Cricetulus griseus: one gene and its partners. The protein of the gene in region 6 purifies or fractionates together with the protein of the main gene of each other region. This does not show direct contact. Links are inferred from orthologs where the notes say so. Each region holds a gene or a part of one and is shown on either strand. Other genes may lie near its edges. The genes, in order: Cabin1, Ubn1, Hat1, Tonsl, Chaf1a, Asf1a and histone H3.3A.

Region 1 (4,237 bases), on a different chromosome or scaffold from region 6:
CAGAAAGGACATCAGATCCCCTGAGACTGGAGTTACAGGCAGCTGTTTGCTGCTATGTATGTGATGGGAAATCTAATCTGGGTTTTCTGGAAGATAGCCAATGCTCTTAACCTTTGAGGAATCTCTCTGGCCCCAATAATCATTTTAATTTAAAAGGGGAGGAGGATGAAAGGCAAGGACCAACACCCAAGGTTGTCCTCTAGGCTTCACATCTTTACTATAGCAAGTACACACACACACACACACACACACACACACACACACACACACACACACACACACTTTCCATAAACATTCTTAAAACCAAGATAGTTCTGAACAAAGCCTGTAACTAAGGGAGAAGACGACTCCGTTGATAAAGTGGCTGCTGTGCAAACATGAGGCCCTCAGCTCACAGCCCCTGGCTGCATCTACAAGTCTAGAACTAGGGAACAAAGACGAAGATCCCTGGAGCTCTATGGCCAGCCAACTACTGACAAGTTCCAAGTTTAGTGAGAAAAGTAACAAAAAAACTTCTAGGTAAGCTTTGTTGACACCCATGGGAAGCCTGCCCTTTCTGAATAGAAACAGGAGGAGTGGAGGGGGGGGAGGGTCAGGAGGAGAGGAGAGAGGGGAAACTATGGTTGGGATGTAAAATAAATGAAAAAATTAATTAAAAAAGTAAATCAAACTAAAATAAATATAACAAAATATAAAAGTGAAAACATGATTAAAGCATGTTAAAAGTCATACAATTATGTCCATAAAGAGACAGCGTAGCACTTAAAAGCACTGGCAGCCCTTGCTGAGAACCCAGGTTCAGCTCATATATCGGGGCTCACAACCACCTGTAACCCAGTTCTAGGGATCCAGTGCCCTCTTCTGGCCTCTCCAGGTACTGTATGCTCATAATGCAGATACAGACAAGCAGCTACACACAGATGTCTTAAAACAAATTAACTTTTTTAGATTAAAAACACCTAACAAAATTCAATACCTATGAACAAGAAAAACACTTGAAGAAAATGGGAACTGAAGGAGAGCTTCTTGTCATGATAAGATATAAATACCTTGGTCCTAAAGCCAAAATAGTATTTAATGGAGAAACGTTACAAACAGGAATAAAGCAGGATGGCCACCATCTCTGCTACTACTCACTATTGCATTAGGATGACCAGCCAACAATGAGAACAGGAAAAGCACACTGAGGTTTAAGAATGGGTATGAAAATGCCGGGCTTCGGTGGCGCACGCCTTTAATCCCAGCACTCGGGAGGCAGAGGCAGGAGGATCTCTGTGAGTTCAAGACCAGCCTGGTCTACAAGAGCTAGTTCCAGGACAGCCTCCAAAGCCACAGAGAAACCCTGTCTGCCCCAGGGGAACATCGGAAGACAGAGGGACAGAGGCAAAGAGCTTAGGTGGGCGTAGATCTTCCTTTTAAAGGTGTCCTTTGCACCTGGGATGACCAGGGTACTGCCTGAATGCATTCTGCCAGGTGATGTGCAGACCAGCATAATGCCTGAATCCTTACATCGGGAGGCAGAGGTAGATGGATTTGAGTTCAAGGCCAGCTTGGTTGACAGAATGAGTTCTAGATCGGCCAGGGCTACACAGAGAAAACTTGCTTTGAAAAAAAAATACAAACGGCGAGGCGTTGGTGGTGCACGCCTTTAATCCCAGCACTGGAGAGGCAGAGCCAGGTGGCTCTCTGTGAGTTTGAGACCAGCCTACAAGAACTACAAGAACTAGTTCCAGGACAGCCTCCAAAGCCATAGGGAAACCCTGTCTCGAAAAACCCAAAAACAAACAAACAAACCTAAAAATATTTAAAATTAAAAAAAAAATAATTAAAGCCATCTAAAGATTAATATAAAAATCGATGCATACAACCATAAACTATGACGGTACAGTTTCCATGGCCCAATGTCGTATGATAAAGAACTTAAGCTCCTCAGCACTGTCACCCAGTGATAACACATGGCGGGGCCTAATGAGGTCTAGAAGGCTGGCAATCTTTGGGGGCGGGGGAAGCTCGAGACAGGGTCTCACTATGTGGCTCTAGCCGTCCTGGAACTCGCTATGTAGACTAGGTTTGCCTTTGCACTCACAGGCATCCAGAGTATAGCCACCCTAATCTAAAACAGGGCTAAAAGTATTGCCATTCTTACTAAATCTACATGTTACGACTACATATCAACACATTGGCTAGGGTTCGCCAGCTCCGGCAGGAGACCGTTCCAAATTCTGTTTCTAAACATCCACACTCACGTCCTACTAACAAGTCAAGTCTTGGGGAGTTCAGCAGCCTCCGGAACCCACAGGTGCGGACACCGGGAGTGCCTGCCAGGTGAGGTCCATCCGTCCACCGGCCACCGCCGGGGAGGCTGTCAGCGGAAGGGTTTGCAGCGGGGTGTAAAGCCGCTGCTGTAACTTCAAAAAAAAAAAAAAAAAACACTGTGAAAAAAACCTTCCCTCGGCCTCCGTCTCCACCCGCGTAGACCCCGCACTCACCTCGCCGGGCGGCCGTGAAGGTGAACGAAAGGACGCACACAGACGGGTGGCTTCGCGCCGCGGTCACAGTGACCCACCCGGGGCACCTCGGGGCGGCGGCGACGGCGGGAGTCGCGCGGAGGAGCCGGCATGGGCAGAAGGCCCGGGCGGGTCTCGGGTCTGGCTTCGGCCCCGCGGCTGTCGGGGATGCGGAGAGCCGCGGCCTTGTCGCGTGGTTCCGCCTCCTCGCGCTCACCGCAGCTGGGCGCGCATCCCGGGGCCACCCGCAAACCCTACTCCCCGGAACTCGCCCGGCGTCTCCACGGCAACCGCCGGAGCACCCAGACTCCCCTGCGCCGCGCGCTCAACAAGGAACGCTCTCGTTGGCTGGAGTGCCGGCTGTGTCGGCCAATCGACGCGAGCGCTCGCGCCTCCTGGCCGTCTGAGCGGATTGGCCGGCGCCCTGCGCGCTGTGTCTCTGTGATCCCCGCAGATCACAGAGTTGGGGGGGCCCGCTGCTGTTACGGTTCAAGAGTCCTGAGCTCTTGCAGGACTCAACAGATTTTTTTAATGAATATTTTTAATATTTTTTATTTATTTATTTATTTATTTATTTATTTATTTATTTATTATGTACACAGTGTTCTGTCTGCATGTATGCCTGCAGGCCAGAAGAGGACACCAGATCTCATTATAGATGGTTGTGAGCCACCGCGTGGTTGCTGGGAATTGAACTCAGGACCTCTGGAAGAGCGGCCAGTGCTCTTAACCTCTGAGCCATCTCGCCAGCCCTCAACAGATTATTTTTCATTTAATTTATGTGCACTGGCATGAAGGTGTCAGATCCCCCTGGAACTGGAGTTACAGACAGTTGTGAGCTGCCATGTGGGTGCTGGGAATTAAACCCGGGACCTCGGGAAGAGTAAGTAGTCTGTGCTCTTAACCGCTGAACCATCTCTCTAGCCCCCAGTTTTGTTCTTTTACTTAAGATAGTGTCTCACACCACAGTCTGAGCTACCCTCGAACTTGTGGCAGCCCTCTTTCTTCGGTCTCCGGGCTACTGGGGTTACTGGTTGATCCCACCACATATTCCTTGATGGACTACAACTGTAACGTATAAGGTGAAATAAACTCTTTAATCTCCATTTTGTTTTTTGTTATTTTTTTTAATCACAGCAATAGAAAAGCAAACTGAGACACCTTCCAAAAGTTAGATGAGGGTGTAACAATGGCCAGGAAGAGGAGACTTTCATGTCAGTCAAGTTGCCTGCACGTTGTTCACCGAGCTCTGGATATGCAGCTTTTTGAGTGGTCACCCACACTGGGTAGGCTTTTCAGTGTTGCATCTGCGTTTGAGTCGCTCACGTTCTGTAAGTAAACTCCCACCCACATTCATTGTAAGGAACTTTCTTTGCTCTGTCATTAGTTCAGGGCGAAGAGACATCTTTTAATATCTCCCCAGGAAAAGTCACATCAGGTCTGTAAATATTAGCATTCAACCTGCAAACATCTCTTGAGCTACTTTAGCAATCAGGGTACCTTGGCCAGAAGAACTGAGTGCAAAAACAACTGGACAGTGAAACAGGAGGAACTCCACGTCTACATTTTGGGAAAGGCTTCAGTAGTGCTCAAATTAAAGCAGCAGGGACAGGAAGACTATTTGGCAACTATGTTTACTCCACAGAACAAGATTCTCAATTTGATGTTTTATTGGCACACACTAATAATACAGATCATTTAATGTCTGTTCAGGAAAACAGCACTGAGTT
Region 2 (3,500 bases), on a different chromosome or scaffold from region 6:
CTGAGGAGCAATGTCTACAGAACAGAAATTCTGCAACATGACAAGGGCCACTGCAAGGCCTGATGACCACACAGAATCCAGACAATGTTCATTCTCTTAACATCAAAATGCACTCAGATACCAGAGGGACAAAGGCAAAAGCAACAGCATCAAGTCCATGTGGGAGAAAAGAAGGAAGAGCAGAAACAAGTCTCAGCTCCCTGCTAACCCATTTTGCATGGCTGCTCTTCTGATTGCCTACGATGTTTTTCCTTTTCCTCTCTGTGGTACTGGTAATAGACCTGGGGCTTTATATATGATAGGAAAATGCTTGACCACTGAACTACACCCCCAACCCTTCAGATAGCTTTGGAAGACCACGGGGAAAAACAGGAAAATAGTACAAAAAGTGTTTGATTCCCCTGCCCCCCCTCTATCCAGTCTCCCTCCTGCCTCTGTTGACTGAAAACTCCACAGACCCAGAGTCTGTTTCTACTCTTCAATTACTTTGTTTCTCTCAAAGAGAGCCATTTCCAAAGCAAGTGGAAGGTGGCACCATCTCACTTTCACACCACACAGGCTCTCAGTAGCTGAGGAGTCACCCACATTGCACTTAATTTAAGTGGCAGCCACCAGTGCAGAGAAAGTCCTCAGATGTGACTGCTTCTTCAGAGGAAAGGAGTGACAACTGACACTGGCTTTGCTCCTCAAAGAAACCTACAAACTCACCCTCATCCTAACAAGGTCTTTGATATTCACTACAGAGTTCTCAGCTTTTAAGACATGGCTTCAAGGAACACACAAGCAGATCACAAAGCACACAAGGAGCTGTGAGCCCAGACTGTCCATGAGCAGTCAAAGGCACACATAGCCCTCGAGTCTGCATCTGACTCCTGCCCTATACAAATCCCCATAATCCCTAAGCTCAGCCCTCCTCTCCCTAGTATAGGCCTGGGTTCTGTTTAGAACAGGTCTAAAGTGCTAAGAACACTAGGTCAAAATCAGTTTCTCATCAGGCCCCTAAGCCAAAATCCCAAGAGGTGCCTATATGCAAGAATCCAGGAATCAGGACAGAGTGAGACCAGTCCACTTACTACAAGATGGCTGCCTGTGGCAAATATTCCCCATTCTCATGCTCTCAAGCTGGCAATACATGTACCTAGGGCTTTTAGAGCTGCCTACTTCCAGAAGCACCATTCTGTCAGGAGACACTGGCTTCATTCCTGGTGTACTTCCAAATCTGTTTTAAAGGAAGGTTTTACACCAAGGTGGATTGCTTCATTCCTGGTGTGCTTCCAAATCTGTTTTAAAGGAAGGTTTACACCAGGGTAGATTGAAAACTGCTTCTCTTTTGGGTCCATACTAACTCTCTCATAGTCATGTATTATGTTCTCTTCCTGTTCTGTGGATATTTATTCCTTTCAAAGAGTATCTGCCACTTGACAATGCCTGGCAGGTGTGTAGTATTTCACCATGAAGGCCCTGAAGTACTTGGTTAACCTTTGGACAAGAGCCACCATTACCTTTCTTCTCTTTAAATGCACATTAAGAGTTGGAGCTCCTCTGTTTCATGTTCAGGCTCAACATATACTGTTATTATACAGGCTAAGTCAGACCTTATGGCCATTCAAAAAGGAAACCAGGAAAAGCCTCTGGTAGTACAGGGTTATATTATTCTGGAACCCAAAGCCAAAGAGCCAGAGCCTCAAAAGACAAAGCAAAATACAAAACAGTGAGGGTGAAGCAGAGATGACTAAAAGCGCTGGCAGCAAAGCACCTAAGGGTGAAGGGGTATGGCCCACAGGGCTCATGGCACACTGCCCACCTGGCATTTACCTGGCAGACTCTGTGGGACATGGGTGGACACAGCAGTATGTGGGAGAGGCGCTGTGTGGGGTGGGCTGGAGTGCAAGCCAGCCAGAAGACCTGAGAGAAAACAGGAGGGGAGAGAACAAAACACACACATTGAAGACAGAACAGAAAAGCAGCTTGGGAGATTCAGAGCCCCAGGCAACCTGTAGGCCAATCTGGAACAAACCAACAACACTGGGCACTAAGCAGCTTCCCAGGACAGGGGTGCTCCCACAGTTACACCAAACACATAGAGGATCCAACATGGCACACAACATAGAAACAGAGGCAGGAAACAAGAACTTACTGTGGCTGAGGCCATGATGGAAGGTCCCAGGGGCTGGGCCTGTAACAATGGCATCCTTAGAGACCCCTGCTTTGGCAGAGGAGTCTGAACTGAAGGAGAGCACGTGAAGTGGAAATGGGACAGAGGTTATGATTCCCAGTGAGTTTGAGTTCATAGCCCCCTGAAGCTTGGGGTTGCTGGGCTTGTAGGATGAAGACAGCAGGCTTAAGGAAGAAGTGTTGGACAGCAGCATTGCCCCTCCGGTTCCTTTCTGGAGAGAAAACACACACACACAATAAGAACCTCACTACTCAGCACTCAAAAGAATAATGGGGAAGTCTCTATGAGCCAGCATCTAGGGGCTTCTAGGGCACAGAGATAATTCCTAAAATAGCAAATATGTTTCTTTTATGAAGCAGAGAAGTAATATATTATGTATGAGCCCTGCAGTGGTAGCATACGCCTTTATTCCCAGCACTCAGGAGAGGCAGAGGCAGGGGGATATCCATGAGTTGAGGCTAGCCTGGTCTACAGAGTAAGTCCCAGGACAGTCAAGGATACACAGAGAAACCCTGTTTCAAAAAAAAAAAAAATCAAAAACAAAAAATATGTATGGTTACTATATATGTGTATATATATAGCATGTGTATATCCATAATGCACATACAAACTAATAGATATATAAACAGATTTATATACACTAATTTAAATTTATTATATAAATTTATGTAACACAAAAATGGGCAGGGATAGCTCAGTGAAGACCTTTGTGGTTTTATTTGTTGGTTTATTTGTCTGTTTTCTGGTTTCTTTGTGTAGCCCTGGCTGTCTTGGAACTTGCTCTGTAGACCAGGCTGTCCTAGAACTCAGAGATCTATCTACCTGCCTCTGCCTCCCAAGTGCTGGGATTAAAGGCATGCATGCACTACCATTGCCCAGCTGTTGGAGTTGTTAAAAATTAGCTATTCTTCCCTAGGGCCCCGGTTTGATTCCCATTGCCTATTATGATGGCTCACAATGGTCTTAACTACAGCTCCAAGAGATCCAACACCCTCTTCTGACCTCTGTGGGCACCCAGCATGCACATGGTAGACATGCAGACAAAACACTCACACACACACACACACACACACACACACACACAAAAAAAAAAAAAAAAAAAAAAAACAAGCAAAACACCCTCCCCAGAAGTTATCTTCATGACAAATTTAAAATCTAGAGGAGCCCTGAATCCCATCCAAAGCCTTCATAAACATGGACAAATGGCAAGTTTCTCATTTAAAAAGATCCAACTGAAAATGGTTCCCTATATATTTATGTTCATGTGAAAGTGAACACTTCCAACCAATCATTGGCTTCTTAAGTTAACTGAAAGCGTCACTGT
Region 3 (4,144 bases), on a different chromosome or scaffold from region 6:
AAAGATGAGTACTATTAACTACATTTTAGAGATAAGGAAACTGAGGTATGGAAATCAATGTAACCAGGATTCACTAATGTGTATTTATTTTTTCTACTTAAGCATGTGATTTTAGTAAACTTAGTTTAGGCACAAACTAATTTTGAAACATTTCTACTTTGCACAAAAAAATTCCATGAGTACTCTGTTCCTACATTTAGTCTGGGGTAATGATTTTCTATTGTTGGTCTTTATGGATTTATGGATATCTTTTCTGAACATTTCATACAAATGGAATTATACACTATGGTTGACTTTTCCTGGCTTCTTTTACTAATCATATTCTAAGGTTTCTCCACAATGTGAAAGGTATCAGGAGTTCATTCCTTTTTACTATCAGATAGTATTCCACTGAATAGCTATAGCATACTTTATCTGTTTACCAACTGGTGTTTTATCGTGAGTTGTTTACACCATTTGATCATTGTGAATACACATGTGTTTTTAGATGAACAATATCTTCATTTCTCTTCATTTCTCTTGAACAGACATCTAATAGAACTGCTGGCTCATATATGTAATTTATGCTTTTTTGTCTTTTAAAGATCTAGCAAGCTTAAGTTATTTTATTTTAGATACTCACCACTAATACATGATTTTTCCCCACATCCTCACCAACACCAGTTACTGCCTATCATATTCAAAAGCAAGAAAGTAAATTTCTTTAAGAAGCTGAGATTACACATACCTGTGACTTTTTGCCACAGTATCTTTCCCATGTGTTAAACTGCTGTCTTCCACCTACCCATTCCACAGCATAAACTCAATGTTCACAAATGCAGGAAATACCAGTTATATAATTATTCTTAAAATAAAATTTTATTTCAAATTTTAAAAGGCCATGTTATATAAATCATTCTGAAATTACATACGTACCTAATTTCAGTTCGATCGCTGTATTGGTGTTACATTTGTACTCGGCCAATTTCTTCTCCACTGCACTCTTATATTCCACCAGAAATTTCTCCATTGCACCAAATCCTAGAAGAAGTTTTGAAAGGTTGGTTAGAAGTGATTTAAATACCTACAAGCAGGATTTTTATTTGAAGTAGGCTAAGGATAAGATGGAAAACATACATGCTACAACAGTACAGGTCTCTCTCCATGAACCCTTCAATAAATACACTGCATAAGTATGCCTCATAAGGGGGCTGGAGAGATGGCTCAGCGGTTAAGAGCACCGACTGCCCTTCCAGAGGTCCTGAGTTCAATTCCCAGCAACCACATGGTGGCTCACAACCATCCGTTATAAGATATGGTGCCCTCTTCTGGTGTGCAGATATACATGGAAGCAGAATGTTGTATACAAATAAATAAAATCTTTAAAAAAAAGAAAAGAAAGAGGAAAAAGAATGCCTCATAAAACAGAAGATAAAACCACTCTTGAGCCAGGCCTGTAATTCATGCAGGAGGCTATGACAGCACTGAGCTGGAGCCAGTGTACCCTGCATGATGGTAACAAAACTCATTTCAAGAAACCGGTTATAGAAATCACCTTTAAGTATGTACTGCTTCAGCCCTCATTCAATAACTCAGGCTAAGGAAGAGGGTTAATTGTAGGGCTCAAGTTCGAATTTTTGATGTAATTTTCATTATACAGTAACTCTTTTATGGTAACAGGGTAATCCAATATCCTACTAGACAACTTCGTTTCTTAAACACAAGCAAATTTCAAACTACACAGTTTGGTAATCCAGCCCACCTGTAAAAGTGGAGCGAGTTTAACCCGTAGTGATGGTGACTCAATGTGAAGGACTAGGGGATAATTACAAAAGAAAATACCCACCACTTCAAAAGAAAATACATCAAAACAGTTCAATAGCAATTTACTTTTGTTCGAGACAGGGTTGCACCGAGTAGCCCTGGCTGTTCTGGAAATCATTCTGTAGACCAGGCTGGCCTCAAACTCACAGAGTTCTTCCTGCCTCTGCCTCCTGAGTATTGGGATCAAAGGAGTGCACCACCAGGGCCCGGCAATTTAAACATTCTTAAACACCGAAGACTAGAAGACTCAAATGAAACCAGAATAAGAGAATACCAACTACTACATACAGTACACAAGTCCCACTCTAAAATAGAAGTTCGGCAGTGCAGAAACGTCTTTCTCAAAAGACATCTAAAAATTATCTCAATAATCCTGCAGGGTTAACAGACCCAGAGTGTGCCCGGGAACAGGTCAGCGCAGCACTGCGCTCGCACAGAAGCTGGCCGTGGGGAAGGTGGGCAGGGCCCTGGGAGCATCAGCTGGCGGGAAATGAACCCGATGACTACATTAGGGCAGCAGCGGGCAAAATGAAAGAGAAAAACAGGCCCCGATGCTGACCACGCTTCACCAGACGAAATCGCACGCTCTGCCCCGGGCGCGCCTACCCTCCTCGGCAGGGCCCGGTGGCCCACGGAAGGCGCGGAGCGCAAGCACTGGGGGCGGCGGCACCGAGCGCGGCCCACCGGGAGGCAGCCTCCGACGCTCGGTGCCTCGCGGCAGGGAGAGGCCTTCTGGAACTTCGGCTAGAGCTCGAAAGTTCCAGTCGGCCACTGTCACAGCCGCCTCGACGTTCTTCCCCAGAACCACCCGCCTCCTCCCCTTGCTAAACTTTTCCCGGGAACTTACCCGCCATTTCCGAGCTGTGAGGGCCCGCGGCTGAGGAAGGACAAATCAACCCGCGCGCTCCCGGACCGGAAATGAGCGCAATGATGACGCATTTCCCCCGCCCAACCTCGGGGAGGCACGAGCCAATGAGAGGAGGTAGTTCTGGGAGCGCGGGGACGGAAGTGCTCAGGAGGCGGGGCTAGTACCGTGAGAAGGCGCGAGCGGTTGCCTAGCCACCGCGAGGGCGTACATCCCTGCTGCTGGTCTTCCGCGCGCAGCCCCGCGCAGCTTGTTGGCTGCTAGAGATTTTCATGGGAATTAACGCTAACTCTCAGACAGCCTACGGCGGTTTTTCCCTCTCCCTCGCAGAGGCTGAAAATCCCTCCCTTTGACACGTTTCACTCCGAAGTTTTGGTTTGGTTTGGGTTTTTTGAGACAGGGTTTCTCTGTGGCTTTGGAGGCTGTCCTGGAACTCGCTCTGTAGACGAGGCTGGTCTCGAACTCACAGGAATCCGCCTGCCTCTGCCTCCCGAGTGCTGGGATTAAAGGCGTGCGCCACCACGGCCCGGCTCATTCGAAGTTTTAAATTTTTTACTTGTCTCTATTTTTGCCATAACCCATTTTAAATCGTTTTCTCTGTATTGTATTCGTATTTTGGAACTGGGTGTCCAGCCCAGAGTCATGCTTACGCTGGGCAAAACACTTTGCCACTGGTCCATAATAAACTTCATGATTTCAATATGATAAACAGTGTCATATTAAAGAACTCAGAGTGGGAGGTAGTGGCATACTCCTTTAAACCTAGCACTTGGGAGCCAGAGGCAGGCCTGTTTCTGTGAGTTCCAGGCGTGCCGGATCTACAAAGCAAGTTCCAGAACAGCCAGGGCTACACAAAGAAACCCTGTCTCAAAGAAACAAAACAACAACAAAAAGATTTATTATCTTGGCTTATATTGTACAATTGAAGAGGTTATATCACTGTAAAGGCCAGGAACCTGGTAGTTACCAGTCCACTGACCCAGGACCCTCAGCCTCTGGAGACCTGAGTATCTGGAGAATTGGGTTCTTCCAGAGACTGTAGACAACTGAAGAGGAACTTGGCAATTTCCTTTCCTGGGGCTGATTCTCTTTTTTTCCCTTTCTTCCTTGCCCACTCCCTTTCTTTTTTGGTTTTCACAGAAGGGAGGCCTCTCTTCCTGATCTGTCCTTAGGTTGTAAATCGTGACCCTCTCTCCTCTTAAGTTATGTGCTCCTTGTGTTAGTCAACTTTTCTAGAGGAATCGTACCAACAGAATTTATTTTTAAAAAATTATAAAAGAGGACTGTGCTGGGGAGATTTATGTCAACTTGACACAAGCTGAAGTTATCTGAAGAGTGTTTTGACATCAGACATGGAGATGCAGAGGTTGGGGTTTGCCCAGTTACTTCTCTGTCTTGCTTTGGTCCAGTATTTCCTCACTGTGCTCCCTTCCTGACCTTTTGGAATGGTCATATATATCCTTGCCATTATATGTT
Region 4 (3,500 bases), about 120 Mb from region 6:
GAAATTTGTGACTTGATGGCTGGAGACCTGTGCCAGAACCTAGAGTGGACCTCAAAGGTCGATTTCTTTTTTGTTTTTTGAGACAGGGTTTCTTTGTAGTTTTGGAGCCTATCCTGGCACTCGCTCTTGTAGACCAGGCTGGTCTCAAACTCACAGAGATCCTCCTGCCTCTGCTTCCTGAGTGCTGGGATTAAAGGCGTGCACCAGCACCGCCCGGTCTACTTCTTGGTATAGCTCTCTCTCTCCCTCTTTAGGTATTACGAAAGAAAATGAGGATGTGTCCTGCCCTTCCCAGTGCCTCAATGGTTAAACTTCTCTCTCTCTCTCTCTCTCTCTCTCTCTCTCTCTCTCTCTTTCTGTTTTTGACACAGGGTTTCTCTGTGGCTTTGGAGGCTGTCCTGGAACTAGATCTTGTAGACCAGGCTGGTCTCGAACTCACAGAGATCCACCTGCCTCTGCTTCCCGAGTGCTGGGATTAAAGGCGTGTGCTACCAATACCCGGCTATGGCTACACTATTATAGTAGACTCTTGGGCCATGTGCCATCCTGTGCCTTGGTACAGATAGTGCCTGACTACAGGGCTTGCAATGGGAGGGAGGATGCCAGAGGTCTCAGTCTGTTGGCCATTCTTGTCCTGGGTTGGCCAGCCCATTCACCCACAGCAGGGATGCCACATAGGTACTTAGCATCTTGTCTATTTCTAAAAACAAGCAATAAAGGAGATCCTGTCTGGGCTCACAGCTCCCTCATCTGTGATCTCTCTAGGGATTTTGGCCCACCTGCCTCACAAGATCCTGGACGCGGCGCAGTTGGCCTTCGATGCAGGCTCGGTGCAGCAGGGTCTCTCCCATGTCATTGCGCCTGTTCCACTGTAAGAGTAATTGCCCCGATATGGGGCAGAAGTGTGAGGGGCAGGAGTATTGCTGGGTACAGGGCTGCTGGACAACAGGGAGGTTAGGATATGTCCTCACCTTGTTTGCCTTCCGCCGGCCCAGACAGCTCTGAAGTTCCTCATCTTCCTCCAGCTTCTGAGACAGGCTGTCACCGTCATCCTCTACAAGAACAAGTCCACTGACCCTTAGCCCGTAGCATACCATCTCCTCCGACCTCAGGGGCAGAGCAGCCAGGGGCAGAGCAGCCAGGGGCAGAGCAGCCAGGGGCAGGAAGGTAGAAGTCTGGGGTTTGTGAGCTCTGGAGCCAGGTAAAGCAAAGCTAACTCCCAGCCCAGCCCAACTCCACCAACACCCCGCTTCTGTTTATATATTATTTGTTTGTTTATTGATTTATGGTTTTTCAAGACAGGGTTACTCATGTGTAGCCCTGGCTGTCCTGGAACTCAGAGATCCTCCTGCCTCTGCCTCCTGAGTGCTGAGATTAGAGGTGTGCACCACCTCTGTGGAAGCCCCACTTCTTTCTTTTTTTTTTTTAAGATTTTATTTATTTATTATGTATACAACATTCTGCTTCCATGTATATCTGCACACCAGAAGAGGGCACCAGATCTCATAACAGATGGCTGTGAGCCACCATGTGGTTGCTGGGAATTGAACTCAGGACCTCTGGGAGAACAGTCAGTGCTCTTAACCTCTGAGCCATCTCTCCAGCCCGGAAGCCCACTTCTATCTCACTACTCCACTACACACAGGGGCTGAAGAAAGGGAGTTGCCCATCATCAGAGGAACTGTTCACTCAACTCCTGTCCATGTGGGCGGGCCTAAAACCAGACTGCCCTGCAGATCAGTCTCATTTACAGACTTTCTGAGGAAGTACCCTTATCAGCGTAAGTCACCTACTCAGGCCTGCTGCCTTGTGTGGTACTGGCCTCTTGGTCTCCCCTTTACTAGTGATTCTTGCCAGATTGTCCTCACTAAGTCTTCTGCTCCCTCCTGGCATTCTCTGGCCCTTTCTATAACTCTTTTCTTCTCTGCCCCTATCTTGTGGCTGTGGCTACCAGCTGAATGACACTCCCTAAGTTAAAGTATTTGGTCTCTCTTCTTATTCAGAACACCTAAATACCAATATTCAACCTGACTTATCTTCTAAGACATGGCCCAACTTCCCAGGTACTGAGGCTCTAGCCCTGTAAGTTCACACCTAAAGTCAAGATTTTTCTAGAAATCGAATCTACAAACCACCCATCTGGAAATCAGCCCTCAGCTCCAGGGACCCCTTCCTGCCTTGTCCCACATAGCCAAGATGCTTTCATTCCTAGCACTGACCAGACCCCTCAGCACACTGGCCTTGAGTTCTGGGAGCATGCTACAGCCATGGATCACTTCCAACACTGCTGGAAAGAGTCTCATGTGAGGGGGCAGCACAGTATGGGGCCTCAATCATAGTCTACCACCCATGAAGCCATCCATGACACAGCATCTCACCTCCCCTAGACACATGCCTCTACTAGGACCATTTTCCTAGACTTAGACCCCAAACATCCCTTCCTATCTGATGCTCACTCTGCCTCTGACCAGTGATTTCCTCAGAGAGCTTCTGATTACTATGCCCCATGTTCTACATGAGCTGCCAGCGCCCTCCAGTCACCTCCACAGAAGCGCTGGTTGCCCTCCCTACCTGCAGCTGTTTTACCCACTTGAGTCCTCAGCAGGATCCATGTAGACACATCTCCAATACACACCAGTCCACCCCAGGCATCATCTTAGAGCAGAACCAGGCGGAAAAGGCATGTGCAGCCCACCCAGCATGCAAAGCAGCATTTGGCCCTCACCACTCTCTGAGAGTTCTAGTTCACTGGTCTCCAGGGCCTCACTGGCTTCTTCTTCCTCTTCTTCCTCCTCCTCCTCTTCCTCTGTGTCTTTTGCCATACTCAGTTCCTGCAGTTTTGTTTCAGTGTCGGGGGCTTCTTGGGGCTGCAACTTTAGTTGCACGGCATGAAGGTGCTGTAAGATCTGCCTCTGAGGGATGGAGATGTTCAGTTTAGGAACAAGCAGGACTACAGAGAGCAAGTAATGCAAGAAAAGATAGGCTTGAGGTGGGAGGATTTTAAGTTCAAGGCCAGCTTTGAGACCCTGTCTCAAAATGAAAATACAAAAAGGGCTGGGGATATATAGGTTATAAGTAAGGTCTGGTTCAAAAGCCAGAAAAAAGAAAAAAAAAGAGCTGGATTTATTTGTGGATGCACTGTTGGTGGGGTGGGCCCTTCTACCTGTAGCTGGAAGCGCTGGGCCTTCTGGGCGCAGCTAAAAGCCTTCTGGAAGCATGGCGCTAGCAGCTCATATGCGTCACCAGCTTCCTCTCGTGACAGTGCAATATTGAACCAAGTGTTAGCCTCCTGGAGCAGAAAAAGAAACGCAAGGTTGGTGGCTGCCTAGCTAGCATATCCAGCTGACCAGCCACAAGTTGGCTTCCCTCAGCTCGTCATATGAAATTGGAAGACGTGCTTTGTCCCTGTCCCATCTCCACGATAGCCCTTGGAAGGAACAGCTTTTCCAGGGGAAAAGCATCCTCTCACACCCACCACCTGAGAATGGTGAGCTCAAGGT
Region 5 (3,384 bases), on a different chromosome or scaffold from region 6:
CTCTGGGAGCCCAGCACAGGTGGCAGAGCGGGTCTGCAGCATGGGCACAGGCCTCACAGACTATGGATGGAAGCAGCCTGCCCCATACCTGTGCTGGAGACAGCAGAAAGCAGGTGCCTTGCAGCATGGAACTGTAATTCCTAAGTTATGAACCCAAATAAACAGGCTATTTAAACCCAGCCTCCTGGTGTCTTCATCAAAGCCACACAAGGCAGCAACCATGACAGTGGAAATCCTACAGCAAACCAGGTCCAGGCTAAGCAGACTCTTGAGGCGCTGGTAGAACAAGGGCATCAGCAAAGTGCACATGCTGGGGATTGGGGCAGAACAGGCCAGGCATGGCACTTCCCTTGGGGAAGATGACACTAGGGGCCCCCTTTCAAGGGACACATTCATCTTGCTGGGGACATCCTAACCATGCTCTGGCTGGGCCCATGACCTTTGCAGGGTACAAGTGGAAGGACACACCAGTGTAACATGATAGTCATGACAAGACAGGCTCAGGTAGAGTATGTTTATACACGTTCATGTTTGCCCAGGGCCTGCATAGCAGCCTCAGTGTCCCTGGTACAATTCATTAGCAGGTGTTTGACCACAGCAGGCACCTGTCAATCAGCTGTCGATAATGCTTAACTAAGAAGGGTAGATCAGCACATAGCCCTGGGGGCTTTACAGTCTGGAAGTAACTGCTCAGGCCTCCTCTAGACTCCACACCCTGGGGTGTCGGACAAAGTGCTCTTTACATGGGAGTCAGCAGGAGGCGAGTCTGGTGGTGGCTGCTCAAGTGCCACATAGCAGGCTGTTGCTAGTGCCCATCCCCACCTCCCTCAGCAGCTCTACAAGGCTGAGGGGAGGCATGGCCACCACTGCCCAGGCCATGCCATATACCAGCCTTGCACTCCAGGCGCCTGCACTCCACTCCCTGCAGCCCAGGTCACTTTTCCCCAGGAGTTTCAACTTGACATCTGTCATTTGCAAGGTGTGGGTGCAGGCATGGGAGCCTCTGACACATCCACGATCACACAGTCTGTATCGTCATCCTCGTCCTCTTCTGTGTCTACCTGGAAGCCATCCATGTCCCCAGAGCCAACCTGCACAAAATACAGCCTGTCAGCATCTTGACCATCCACTCCCCAACAAAATGGCTTGGGGCCTATGGCTACAAGCACTCTGCTAAGGTGAGCCACACACCCGTCTAAAAGCTGCCAACAGCAGCATCCCAGAGCAACCTGAGTGGCTTGGCTTCTCAACTTTGGTTTCAAAGAACCAATGGAACACCTACTCTCTTGGCATTTCTTTCTCCTGGTGGCTAAGACTTGGAGCTTCCTGCAGCTGTGAGGATCCCTGGCCAGTTCATGGGCTTCTGGGGAAAAGACAGATGTAGCCAGGTTGACCCCACATGGTGAGGAAACAGCCCACTGGCCTTTGACAGGGGGAAGGCAGCTGCTTCTCTACAAGTCTGAATGCCTCTTGTACAGATGTCTGCCTACATCCATGCATGGTATTGTGTAGACTGAGGCAGGAGGATAAAGAGTTGAAGGTAGCCTGGGTTGCTCAGTGGCTAAGAGCCCTGGCTCCTCTAGCAAGGGACGTGAATTGGTTCCCAGCACCCATATGGCTGTTCGCAAATGCTTTTAACCCCAGCTGCAGATAGATCATCTGATGTCCTCTGGGAGATTCTATGGATACTGTGCTCACATGCAGACCTACCCACAAAAACATGATAAATCCTTAAAACAGGGAAAACCAAGTCTCAAAGACTGGGGCACTCTGGGCCCAGTGATGCACAGTAGTCTGATGTGATCACAGCTCCAGCTAAAAGCTGAACTACTCTGCATTCTAAATGACTGAACACAGAACATTCAAGAGCATAGCTGCCCCTCCCCAAGGTGGCCAGACACCTGGGAAGGCTGGACTTCCTTCCACTCCTTACAAGCAGATCTAGCGAGTCTGATGGAACACTGGGCTGCTAAAGAACAGACCCAGGCAGTCTAGGGCACTGTGTGAGCACCATGCTGGGTCTGTGCCTTCTGGAGGCAACACTTTCAGTCACAAAATACAAAAGCCCACCATTGTGCTCTGTGGGGTTCCTCAGGGCTAAGGCTGACAGCAAAGTGTGCCTTTGAGCCTTGCTCCCTGTTCATGTGGGGTACGGCAAAGATCATTAAGAGAAGGACAAGAAGAGTGTCCATACACAGTGGTAGCCAGTGTCAGGCAACACTTAGAGCCCGTGCCCTCTAACATCGCAGAAGAGGACCTGAGATGTCAACATGTAGTGAGTGAGCTAGATTTCTAGTGACAGAAAGGACACCTCAAAGAAAAACAAACAAACAACAAAAAACGCTGACACTGCTTCAGTGGGCAGGGCTCTGATGCTCTATCACACGCTTGCCCATGTAGCTCAGGAGATGGTGCTTCACCTATCCATGTGCACAAAGTACCATTCAGAGTTAGAAGGAGTTATCAAGCAAGAATGAACTAAACATAGCAGGCCAAGGGATTACTTGTTGTGTGACCCTGATTATGACATTTGGGGACATGGACAGACACATGGCTGCTAGTGTGGGAGGGCAAGTGGGACACAGGCTGTGACCTGTGATGGAATCATAACGGCTGGGTCACTAAAAATCAACAACTCAGCCAACTGTGGCGGCCTCTGGGTGACTTCACCATGAGGAGTAAGATGTAGCAGTAGAGGCAACTGCTGTGCAAATGCAATCATCCGCTCAGTGCTACTGCAACTCTGCAGCTATTGTAGAAGGGCAGCAAGATGGCCCAGTGGGTAAAGGTGATTGCTGCACAAGCCTGGCAACCCAAGTTCCACCCCCAAAACCCACATGAAGGTGGGAGGGAACCAGCGCCACAAAGCTCTCCTCTAGACACAGGTGAACAAGGCCCATGCCCTCTGTAGCTCACCTGTCCATCGTACCGCCTTTTCTTCATGAACTGTGTAATGCACATGGTGGCTGCTGGCTTCCGCTTGATTGGCATGGGTGTGCCCTGGCCAGGCACCTCGGTGGAAGCATTGCCATTGTCTTCCCTGGGTGTTGAGGGCACAGCGGTGACGTAGGTCCACTGGCAGGGCACAGGCAGACACTCCTGGCCGAAGCGCCTGAGCACTTGTGGGTGCACATACCAGCACATACGGAAGTCAGGCCGCTTCTCATAGGCCGAGTTCTCAGAGATGAGGCGCTTCAGCCTGGCCTTGGATGGCACGACCACAGTATCTTCTGAGTTAGGTGTCTGTGGGTGTGAAGTGGCGTTTGTGGGGCTCAGCAGGCCACGGCGGCATCGCTCTTGGAATTCTCGGATGATCACCTTGCTTCCATTCACGTTGCCATGCAACAGCGGTAGCAGCTGGGCCAGGACTGTGGGATGAGACAG
Region 6 (3,957 bases):
AACTGCAGATTAATACTTAAAAGCAATTTTCAATCTGAATTTTATTTAATAACGTTTCGTAGTTTAATTCCAAAGGGGAGAAAACACAATAGTAAATTGAGTAACACCTCAATTTAGTAAAAGGAAACAGTTTACTTTCACAAAGGTGTTAAAAGCTTCTGTTTCCCCCTCCACAATAGCAGCTCAGTAGCATAAATAAGCAACATTTCCTCAATTGGCCTTGAAATGGTTTCACAGGCATTACAGGCATAGAAGGGCTCCTCAGAATTCGTAATGCTATTTTTAATGTACGAATAGTTGGTATAAATTTCTTGAAGACCAAATGTCATGGTATACTTTGTTTTCTCCTTCTCAAACTCTATTGTAATAAATTTGTTGTCCTTCGGTCTCCTGACACTTCCCTTTTCTTGACTTCTAACTTCTTGCTCTGCTCCCCCAAAGGGCAGAAACATGACTGATCCCATCTTTTCCTCTTATCTCCCCTTTCATTCTATTTCAGGTCTGAAATGGGAAGAAATCCAAGGTGCAGCCAAAGATCGTATATTTAGATTTGTTTTCCGGTCTCTGTCTCTCTCTCTCTCTCTCTCTCTCTCTCTCTCTCTCTCTCTCTCTCTCTCTCTCTCGTTCTCTCGTGTGTGTGTGTGTGTGTGTGTGTGTGTGTGTGTATGTGTGTGTGGTGTGATTTCCCCGCCCTCATTTTCTATTGCCAAAACGTCGATAAGTGGCCAAGAACTTGTCTTCCAAAATGGCTTGCTCCTTTCGAGCTGCCACGGGTCTACGAGATGCAATGTACTTCCATTGCAACCAGCCCTTCTTCCTACTCCCTACCATCACAGGAAGCACACACAGCTGGGCCTGACGAGCGCAGAAAATCGCATCTTATCCGCTACGTTCAGCAGAGCCCGCAAAGCCGCCGCACCGAAGAACAGACGTTAAAGGCGGGGCGGACAGCGGAAAACCCAAAGGCCCACGCTTCGCACATGAGGGGCCAGCTCGCGCCCTCCCGCCACGGCCGCCGGCCCGCCCCCTCTCCGGCCCCGCCCCTCCGTCCCGCCGCGGCCACGCCCGACGTGAGGCGCGGGCCCGGCGGGCGGGGCGGGGCCTGCGCCGCCCCTCCCCCCTCCCGCCGGCGGCGGCCTCCGCGCGGGCCTCCCAGCCCCTATTCCACTCACTTTGTTCTGCGCCTTTGTCCTGGTCCACACCAGCAGGTGGAGCCGCAGTGAAAGTTTCCCGTCCGTTCCGCGAGCGGGAGCCCATCTTGCTCGCCGCCACGGCCCTCGCTGGAGGAGGAGGGTCAGAGCTCGGGGGCAGCCAATCGCGCGCAACGCTGCTAGTTATCAGAGCAGAATGGGCTGTAGTTTAGTGGAATAGGAAAGCTGCAAAACACTGTGGAGTGCTGCCGTGTAAATAAAAAGGGGGAAAAAAAAAGTTTCTCAAGTCGCCGCTGCACGACGTCGGGCCGCGCCGCGCCGGGGCGGGGGTCTGCGCTCTCCGAGCGGCCGCGCGCGGGACTCTGTGGTGCCGCCAGCCCCGGCCCCATTGTTTGTGTTTTCTTCAAAATATGGCAAAGGTTCAGGTGAACAATGTAGTGGTGCTGGATAACCCGTCGCCTTTCTACAACCCGTTCCAGTTCGAGATCACCTTCGAGTGCATCGAGGACCTGTCTGAAGGTGAGCAGCGCCGGGCTGTCAGTTGTGGCGGCGGACGTTAAAGTTTCCCGGCCCGGCCTCGCGCGGGGTGGGCCGCGGGCGGCGGGAGGGCGGCCGGGCGGCGGCCATGCGAGGGAAACTTGAAGTTGAGGGACGCCGGCCGCACCGCAACTTGCGAGCAACTTACCGGCGGAGGAGCCATGTTGTCAGCTTTGTCTGTGGCGGGCGGCGCTGGGCGGCCCCGGCTCGTGAGGCGCCGGCGGGGGTCGTGCGGCCTCGGCGGCCCCAGGGCCCCGCGGCCCGGCGGGGAGCGGAGCCATCTTACCCGGCGGCACGACGCCTGCTCCGGGCCGCCGGGGGCGAGCGGGCCCGCGCCTTCCCGCCGGGGCTGTCCTCGCGCCGCTCTCCGGCTCCCTCCACCAACCAGCGCGGAAGGCGGGCGCTGACTCGGCCCCTCGGCGCCTGGCTCCCGGGGACCGTCGTCCTCCCCGCGGTGCTCCCGGCGGGCGCCCGGGATGCTGCGCGCAGGCTCCCCAGCAGTGTGGACGCCTCTCCAGGAGGACGGAAATCTCTCTGAAACGGTGCGGGGCTAGGAAGTTCCACCCTGCCCAAGAGCCAAAGCTGGGCGCTGCAACAATTCCCGGTACTGGCTTCTAAAAAGTCTCCAAGACTTTCCCCAGAACGTACGAAGATGCAATTAAAATAACTCCACGGCCAGGCGGATAGAGAAAATACGGACGTTGGCTAGGGAATAAAAGCCAAAGTCTTTTCTGAAGTACGTTTTGCGGTTTAAAAAAAATGCAAAATAGTGAAGGAATACAGGATTTAGAAAGCTACAATGAGGGATTATCATCAGTTTTCTTAGGCTTTTAGTAAAACCAGTGCTTCATTTTCAAAATTTGAAACAAAAAGTGTAATAACTTCATCAGTGTTAATTTAAGTTAGTTAGGAGGACATCTTGGGACCTGGAAGTATTTCGTAAAAATGCCTTTAAGAGTATTATCCTCACCATGACGGAAAGAATTTTTCTTTTCATTTAAAAGTTTTAAATCCCCACAGTGTACTTTATGTAGGATGTTAAGTTTAATTATAAAACCAATATATGCCCGTTGCAATAAACTTTAAAAAGTTGGAAAAGGAAGTCACAGCTCTTTCACCCATTCTTTTAGCTAACCACACCATCACTTTAAAATGTACCCCTCTGTTGTTTTTAATACTTATATAAAGTATAAATGCACAAAAATTTAGTATGTAGGAAATATTTTGAAGAATGACTCATGATTAGAATATAGTAGTCTCCTAATAGGCTGTGGTGATGTAAGGTTGAGGGTAAGTTTTGCTTAAAACTCCATTTGTTACTGTCCGATAGTATTAGTAAAAGCATTTCCACACCAGACCCATTTCCAAACACAACATTGGTTTTTCTTCTTAACTGCCAATTTATATATAAAGATAAAGAAAAAAGCATGGGTGAGTCCATTCTATCCCAATAGCAGTGTGTTCTAGGCATTAGAAGTTCTTCATATTACAGGTATTTCTCAAGCGATGGCTTCCATTTTAGGATTCAACTTTGTGCAAGGAAGACATGATCTAGGATATTGTTATAGGGTGGCTCTACAGGATAGTTCGAAACCAGCCATCCACAGAAACCAAGTGAGGTTCCGTTTTAAACTGGGGTCCTTTCACATCAATGGTATCACTCTCATGTCAAGAATACCCTTACCTCTAGTACCCTTCAAAACCAGGGCACCATTATTTTAGGATATTTTAAGCTGAGTCATTCCAAAGCTGCAAAGGAATCTTTCAAAAAGGTGCCATTTCTGTGTACTCCATCTAGAGGCTGTGTGGAGTAAGGAAATGGAGTTGACTTATTTTGCAAAAGCTCTTTTCTAGGTTCCATACTTCTGTTGTACTGTGATTTTTTTTTTTTTTTAATTCTTAAAATCAAACTACAAAATCCTTCGAAGGGAATTTTGAGTCTATAATTTGGGTCTACCCCCAACCTACAGATTAGCCACCATTTGTTATGCTCATCAATCATCTTCAACTATTTTAATTTTCCTTTAAAAGCTGCCCTGTAGCTTTGCTTCAGAAGCCTTGAGTAGTATTTGCTCTAAGGTTGAAACAGTTATTTCTTATACTGGGCTTCTAAGAGTAGAGCACATTAAAAAGTGGGATGTAAAGGCCAGTGAGATAGATGGCACAGCCAGTAAAGCTACTAGCTACTCAGCCTGACTACCTGAGATCGACACCGGAATCCACATGGTAGAGGGACAACTGACTCCAACCAGTTGTCCTCTGACCTCCA
Region 7 (3,946 bases), on a different chromosome or scaffold from region 6:
GGCAAGGATAGGTTAGAGTGAGCCCCGCCTTAAAAACAAACAAACAAACAAGACTTGGGAGCATATTCGAAGTTAGGCTGGCAATAAAGACATCTTCCCAGTTTAAGCAACACTTTCTGTTGCCCCATCTGTGCCTTAGGTTTTAAAGTCCTAAAAGAGTTACCAACATAATTTACAACGATTCACTTAAAACACTCGTATTTGATCTCCCAGTATTGTATCACCAGTCATGAATGACTGAATTTGAAAACTTGATTTCACATTGTTTCTCCCACATGAAAAATTTTCTAAAATTAAGTCATTGTCTATAATACTTTTTTTTTTTAACTTGGGAAGCTTTATTGGGGGAAGAGAGTGGGAAAGATAAGAGAGAAAACAAATCCTTTAACCCCTAAATTTGACTTATTTCAACTCTATGAGCTGTTCACTGTACAATCTGTCTATGCAAATTTGGGCAACTTATGCCCTCTAATGGCAGATGTCCTTAACAACAGTGCTTACATAAAAATAAAATGAGGGAGTAAAGGAGGGAAAAACCCAAGTAATTATGACCAAGAGACTTTCTTTACTAGTCTCCCTAAGGTACTACACTTTACCACAAGTGTGGGTCAACCAAAACAAAAAGTATGTGTAAAAACACAACCATTTTTATGTGCCTGTATACACATATGAAACCATTTCATACTTAAAATGCTAATGGTTAAAATGTTAATGTGTCCTACTACCAGTTGAGAACCGCGTCCCTTTAGAATTTAGATCAGATTACAACTTCAAAATGTTATCAATAAAGCCTGACACTAAGTTACATGTATTCATAAATGAACATATGCACGTGTATTTTCAAGCAGCAGTAAACATTCAGAAGGAAAACATCTTTCCCTCACCTTCCTGTTAAATTACATGGACATACTGTTTAGACACTGTCCTATTCCTCCCCCTTTTATAAATACCTGTAACGATGAGGTTTTTTCACCCCTCCAGTAGAGGGCGCACTCTTGCGAGCGGCTTTTGTAGCCAGTTGTTTCCTGGGTGCTTTACCACCGGTGGATTTGCGGGCAGTCTGCTTTGTACGAGCCATGGTAAGAGCACCTCCTTACTTACCTACCAGTATTAAAAAAAAAAAAATCATATTCAACTAAAACATACATTTTCTTGCCAGAAGCCACCCCCTAAAAAAAAAAAAAATCCCAGAAACCTATCATTACTGAGAAAAAAAAAAGGCTGTTATATAATTAATTTGAAAGGGCGCAGGTTAGGTCTACTACCCAAATACGACTTAAAACAAACCGGAAAATTGTCAGCATTAATACTCATAACGCCAATTCCAAGCGACAAACGGCCAAAACCAGCGAGACCACCCCAATGGGTTTTAATTCAATTTCTTTAATTAAAGTAGAAATTAGAAATGCCTGCAAGCATTCGATCACAAACAAGTCAAACGAAAGAAGCCACAAACCACAGAAAGGTCGAGTCAAATTACAGCCAAAAAAAAAAAAAAGAAAGAAAAAAAGAAAAAAGGTTCCAGCGTCCCCCCCCCGTTCGCGCCCCCCGCCTCGCGCTCGGCAGTTGGATTGCTGTAAATATCTGTAAACATTCTTGAGGTTTCTATCTTTACGGTTATGTTGACAAAAAGGCGTCTCGAAAGACAAGAACAACAGCTATTGCCAGCGAGCATTCCACAAAGCCCGTCCTCCCGGGCTTCGCTATGCCAGCCGACTGCCCCGCACCCAGTCTTAATTAGCGCTCGACACCGGCCGCCCGGCCCACCCCAGCACCACATAAACTTTTGCTTCTGCCTCCCCCGGGTCCCCGGGTCCCGGGTCCCCGACCTGCCCTGCCCGGCCCGGCCCGGGCGCCCCGTGCCGGCAGCGAACGACTCGGCTCCCCAAGGCTAGCACAAAATGGAAACAATTGCAAAATGTATCCGACTCCCTTCCAAAGACACAAACAGCAAACCCTTCGAAAAATACCCCATCCCCTGCCACGTGCCGCTCTCCCCCAAATGCAAAAGTTCTTTTTTTCGTTATTTCGAATTTCATATGCATCAAGTTTCCTTTTTTTTCCTCCAAAAAAGGCAAAAAAATAAAAAAAAAGGTGCTTAAGATTTTTTTCCTCCTTCCATTTTAAAATGGGGAAGAGAGAAACGGGGGGGAAAAGAAACATGGTCGGTGACCAGAGAAGAGAGACAAGATGGTGAAGCTCAGCCACAACTGTGGGGAGGCAGCAAAAAGCGAGTTCGCCCGGGGCGGGAAGCGACGGCGATTTTACCCATTTCGCGCCCGACAAACTGCGGCCCGGGACCCGCAGGCGGCAGTTGAGGGGCTCGCGCGGGACCTGGTGAAGGTCTGGGGTCCCGGGAAGGGGCGGCGGGCGGGATTTCACCGAAGAAAGGAGAGCCCGCGGCGCGGGAGGGCCAGCAGGCTCGGCAGGCGGCGCGGCGGGGCCGCCGCCGGGCTGAGGCGGAGACGGAGAGCTGCCGCCGCCGCCGCCGCCGCCGCCGCCCGAGGAGAGGGAAACTCGCTCCCCGTCTCCGTGTCTGCGCCAAAAAGTTTGAGGGTCGAGCCCGAGGGGCTGCGGGGGCCCTCCGCGGCCCGCTACGGCAGCGCCGGCGGACGGGGCCCGGCTCCGGGAGAGCGGGCGGACGGAGAAACTTACCCCCCTTCTCCTTCGGCTGGAGCTCGGCAAGCGAGAGGCGGCGCTGGCGTTAGAGAGCGGCGGCGGCGGCGGCGACGGCTGCGAACACAATTGAAAGATGGCTGACACCGAGGCTACCCCCACACACGCCGCCCCGCCCCGCGCCGCGCCAGCCAATCACACACAATGGAGGGAAGGCTCGGCCCCGCCCCGGGGCCCGCGCGCCCGCCCCCCGCCCCTCCCCCCGCGCGCCCGTTCGCTGGCGCGCGCGCTCGCTCCTCCTCCACCCCCGCCCCCCCACCCCGCGCGCCGCCCGCCCCCGGCTCCCGCCGCCTCTCGCGGTGTGTACAAACACAAAAGACACGCCGAGGGGCCGCGGGGCCCGCCGAGACGCCGCCCGCCCCCGGCCCGGCCCGCGCTCGCTTCCCTCCCCGCCCGGGGCCAGCGCCACGGGGAGCCCCCGGAGCCCCGGCTCCCGGGGGTGGGGGGGTGAGGGATAAGGGGGGGTACCGAGGGGGCCCGTGGGGGATGGGAGGGCGGGCCGCGGGCCAGCGCCCGGCCTGCGGGGGGAGGGGCGCCGCCCCCGCGCGCGTCCCCGAGGCGCCCGCCCGCGTGGGGCGGGGAGAAGGCCGCGGCCCCGCGGTCGCCGCGCCCGGTGGACGAGGCGCCCGAGCCGGAAGCCGGCGAGTGGAAGCCCGAGGCCCGCGCCCACTCTCGGGCCGCGCCCGTTGCGCGCGGCAGGGGCGGGGCCCCGCGGTTCGCTTCCCGCCTAGCGCGGGCGCGGGGCGCGGGCGCGTCCGAGGGCCGGGCCAAATCGCCTGAGGACAAGCCCGTCGCGGACTCTACCCGGGAGAGGCGGGGCGGCCACTGCCAGCGCTGCTTCCCCGACGGCGGCGGCGGCGACACCGCGCTCACCCGCTCCTGCCTGGGCCGCCGTTCTTGATGCAAGATGGCTGTGTGTTGTGAGCCTCGGGAACAATGTGCAGCACAGCTGTCGCTGCGCACGGCCCGGCTGCCGGTCCAGCCCGAGTGGGCCGCTCAGCGAGCGGCCTCACCCTCCTCGGAAGATCGCTGTGGAAGGAGACTGTGACATAGCAGCTTAAGGCTGTCGCTGTAAGAGGCTGAAAACGGCAGGTACTAAGGAAGAGCTGCCGCAGGGCTTGCCGTGTTTCCCGCTTTCCAGCACCGCTCGGTAGCTTGAGCAGCACGGCGCAGCTCAGGTTGTCATTAGCTGACCCCCAGACGGTAGGGACCAGGCTTCACAGCCCTGGGTGAGGGCTTTCGGTACAAGAGAGATCCCATAGGGTTGTGA

The links.
Region 1: the proteins of Asf1a (region 6) and Cabin1 purify together in Homo sapiens (affinity purification with mass spectrometry; 4 studies listed by BioGRID and IntAct, counting the BioPlex papers as one, with this or other methods). This does not show direct contact. The link is inferred for Cricetulus griseus from reciprocal best matches to the Homo sapiens genes ASF1A and CABIN1.
Region 2: the proteins of Asf1a (region 6) and Ubn1 purify together in Homo sapiens (affinity purification with mass spectrometry; 6 studies listed by BioGRID and IntAct, counting the BioPlex papers as one, with this or other methods). This does not show direct contact. The link is inferred for Cricetulus griseus from reciprocal best matches to the Homo sapiens genes ASF1A and UBN1.
Region 3: the proteins of Asf1a (region 6) and Hat1 purify together in Homo sapiens (affinity purification with mass spectrometry; 4 studies listed by BioGRID and IntAct, counting the BioPlex papers as one, with this or other methods). This does not show direct contact. The link is inferred for Cricetulus griseus from reciprocal best matches to the Homo sapiens genes ASF1A and HAT1.
Region 4: the proteins of Asf1a (region 6) and Tonsl purify together in Homo sapiens (affinity purification with mass spectrometry; 4 studies listed by BioGRID and IntAct, counting the BioPlex papers as one, with this or other methods). This does not show direct contact. The link is inferred for Cricetulus griseus from reciprocal best matches to the Homo sapiens genes ASF1A and TONSL.
Region 5: the proteins of Asf1a (region 6) and Chaf1a purify together in Homo sapiens (affinity purification with western blotting; 3 studies listed by BioGRID and IntAct, with this or other methods). This does not show direct contact. The link is inferred for Cricetulus griseus from reciprocal best matches to the Homo sapiens genes ASF1A and CHAF1A.
Region 7: the proteins of Asf1a (region 6) and histone H3.3A purify together in Homo sapiens (affinity purification with western blotting; 8 studies listed by BioGRID, with this or other methods). This does not show direct contact. The link is inferred for Cricetulus griseus from reciprocal best matches to the Homo sapiens genes ASF1A and H3-3A.

What each region holds. Positions count from the first base shown.
Region 1 is NW_023276806.1:262,833,259-262,837,495, reverse strand, and holds the start of Cabin1 (calcineurin-binding protein cabin-1), read right to left. Parts: upstream 2,801-4,237; 5' UTR 2,490-2,800; intron 2,409-2,489; 5' UTR 2,258-2,408; exon of another isoform or gene 2,247-2,257; intron 1-2,246. UniProt on the Homo sapiens protein: May be required for replication-independent chromatin assembly. May serve as a negative regulator of T-cell receptor (TCR) signaling via inhibition of calcineurin. Inhibition of activated calcineurin is dependent on both PKC and calcium signals.
Region 2 is NC_048600.1:41,616,859-41,620,358, forward strand, and holds part of Ubn1 (ubinuclein-1), read right to left. Parts: intron 2,388-3,500; coding exon 2,138-2,387; intron 1,906-2,137; coding exon 1,816-1,905; intron 1-1,815. UniProt on the Homo sapiens protein: Acts as a novel regulator of senescence. Involved in the formation of senescence-associated heterochromatin foci (SAHF), which represses expression of proliferation-promoting genes. Binds to proliferation-promoting genes.
Region 3 is NC_048599.1:103,798,461-103,802,604, forward strand, and holds the start of Hat1 (histone acetyltransferase type B catalytic subunit), read right to left. Parts: upstream 2,801-4,144; 5' UTR 2,658-2,800; coding exon 2,651-2,657; intron 1,021-2,650; coding exon 916-1,020; intron 1-915. UniProt on the Homo sapiens protein: Histone acetyltransferase that plays a role in different biological processes including cell cycle progression, glucose metabolism, histone production or DNA damage repair. Coordinates histone production and acetylation via H4 promoter binding.
Region 4 is NC_048595.1:373,912,895-373,916,394, forward strand, and holds part of Tonsl (tonsoku-like protein), read right to left. Parts: intron 3,290-3,500; coding exon 3,164-3,289; intron 2,913-3,163; coding exon 2,726-2,912; intron 1,055-2,725; coding exon 972-1,054; intron 870-971; coding exon 780-869; intron 1-779. UniProt on the Homo sapiens protein: Component of the MMS22L-TONSL complex, a complex that promotes homologous recombination-mediated repair of double-strand breaks (DSBs) at stalled or collapsed replication forks.
Region 5 is NC_048598.1:97,479,983-97,483,366, forward strand, and holds the end of Chaf1a (chromatin assembly factor 1 subunit A), read right to left. Parts: intron 3,369-3,384; coding exon 2,917-3,368; intron 1,092-2,916; coding exon 969-1,091; 3' UTR 501-968; downstream 1-500. UniProt on the Homo sapiens protein: Acts as a component of the histone chaperone complex chromatin assembly factor 1 (CAF-1), which assembles histone octamers onto DNA during replication and repair.
Region 6 is NC_048595.1:255,440,030-255,443,986, reverse strand, and holds the start of Asf1a (histone chaperone ASF1A), read left to right. Parts: upstream 1-1,157; 5' UTR 1,158-1,561; coding exon 1,562-1,670; intron 1,671-3,957. UniProt on the Homo sapiens protein: Histone chaperone that facilitates histone deposition and histone exchange and removal during nucleosome assembly and disassembly.
Region 7 is NC_048598.1:13,474,756-13,478,701, reverse strand, and holds the start of histone H3.3A, read right to left. Parts: upstream 2,801-3,946; 5' UTR 2,656-2,800; intron 1,102-2,655; 5' UTR 1,079-1,101; coding exon 951-1,078; intron 1-950. UniProt on the Homo sapiens protein: Variant histone H3 which replaces conventional H3 in a wide range of nucleosomes in active genes. Constitutes the predominant form of histone H3 in non-dividing cells and is incorporated into chromatin independently of DNA synthesis.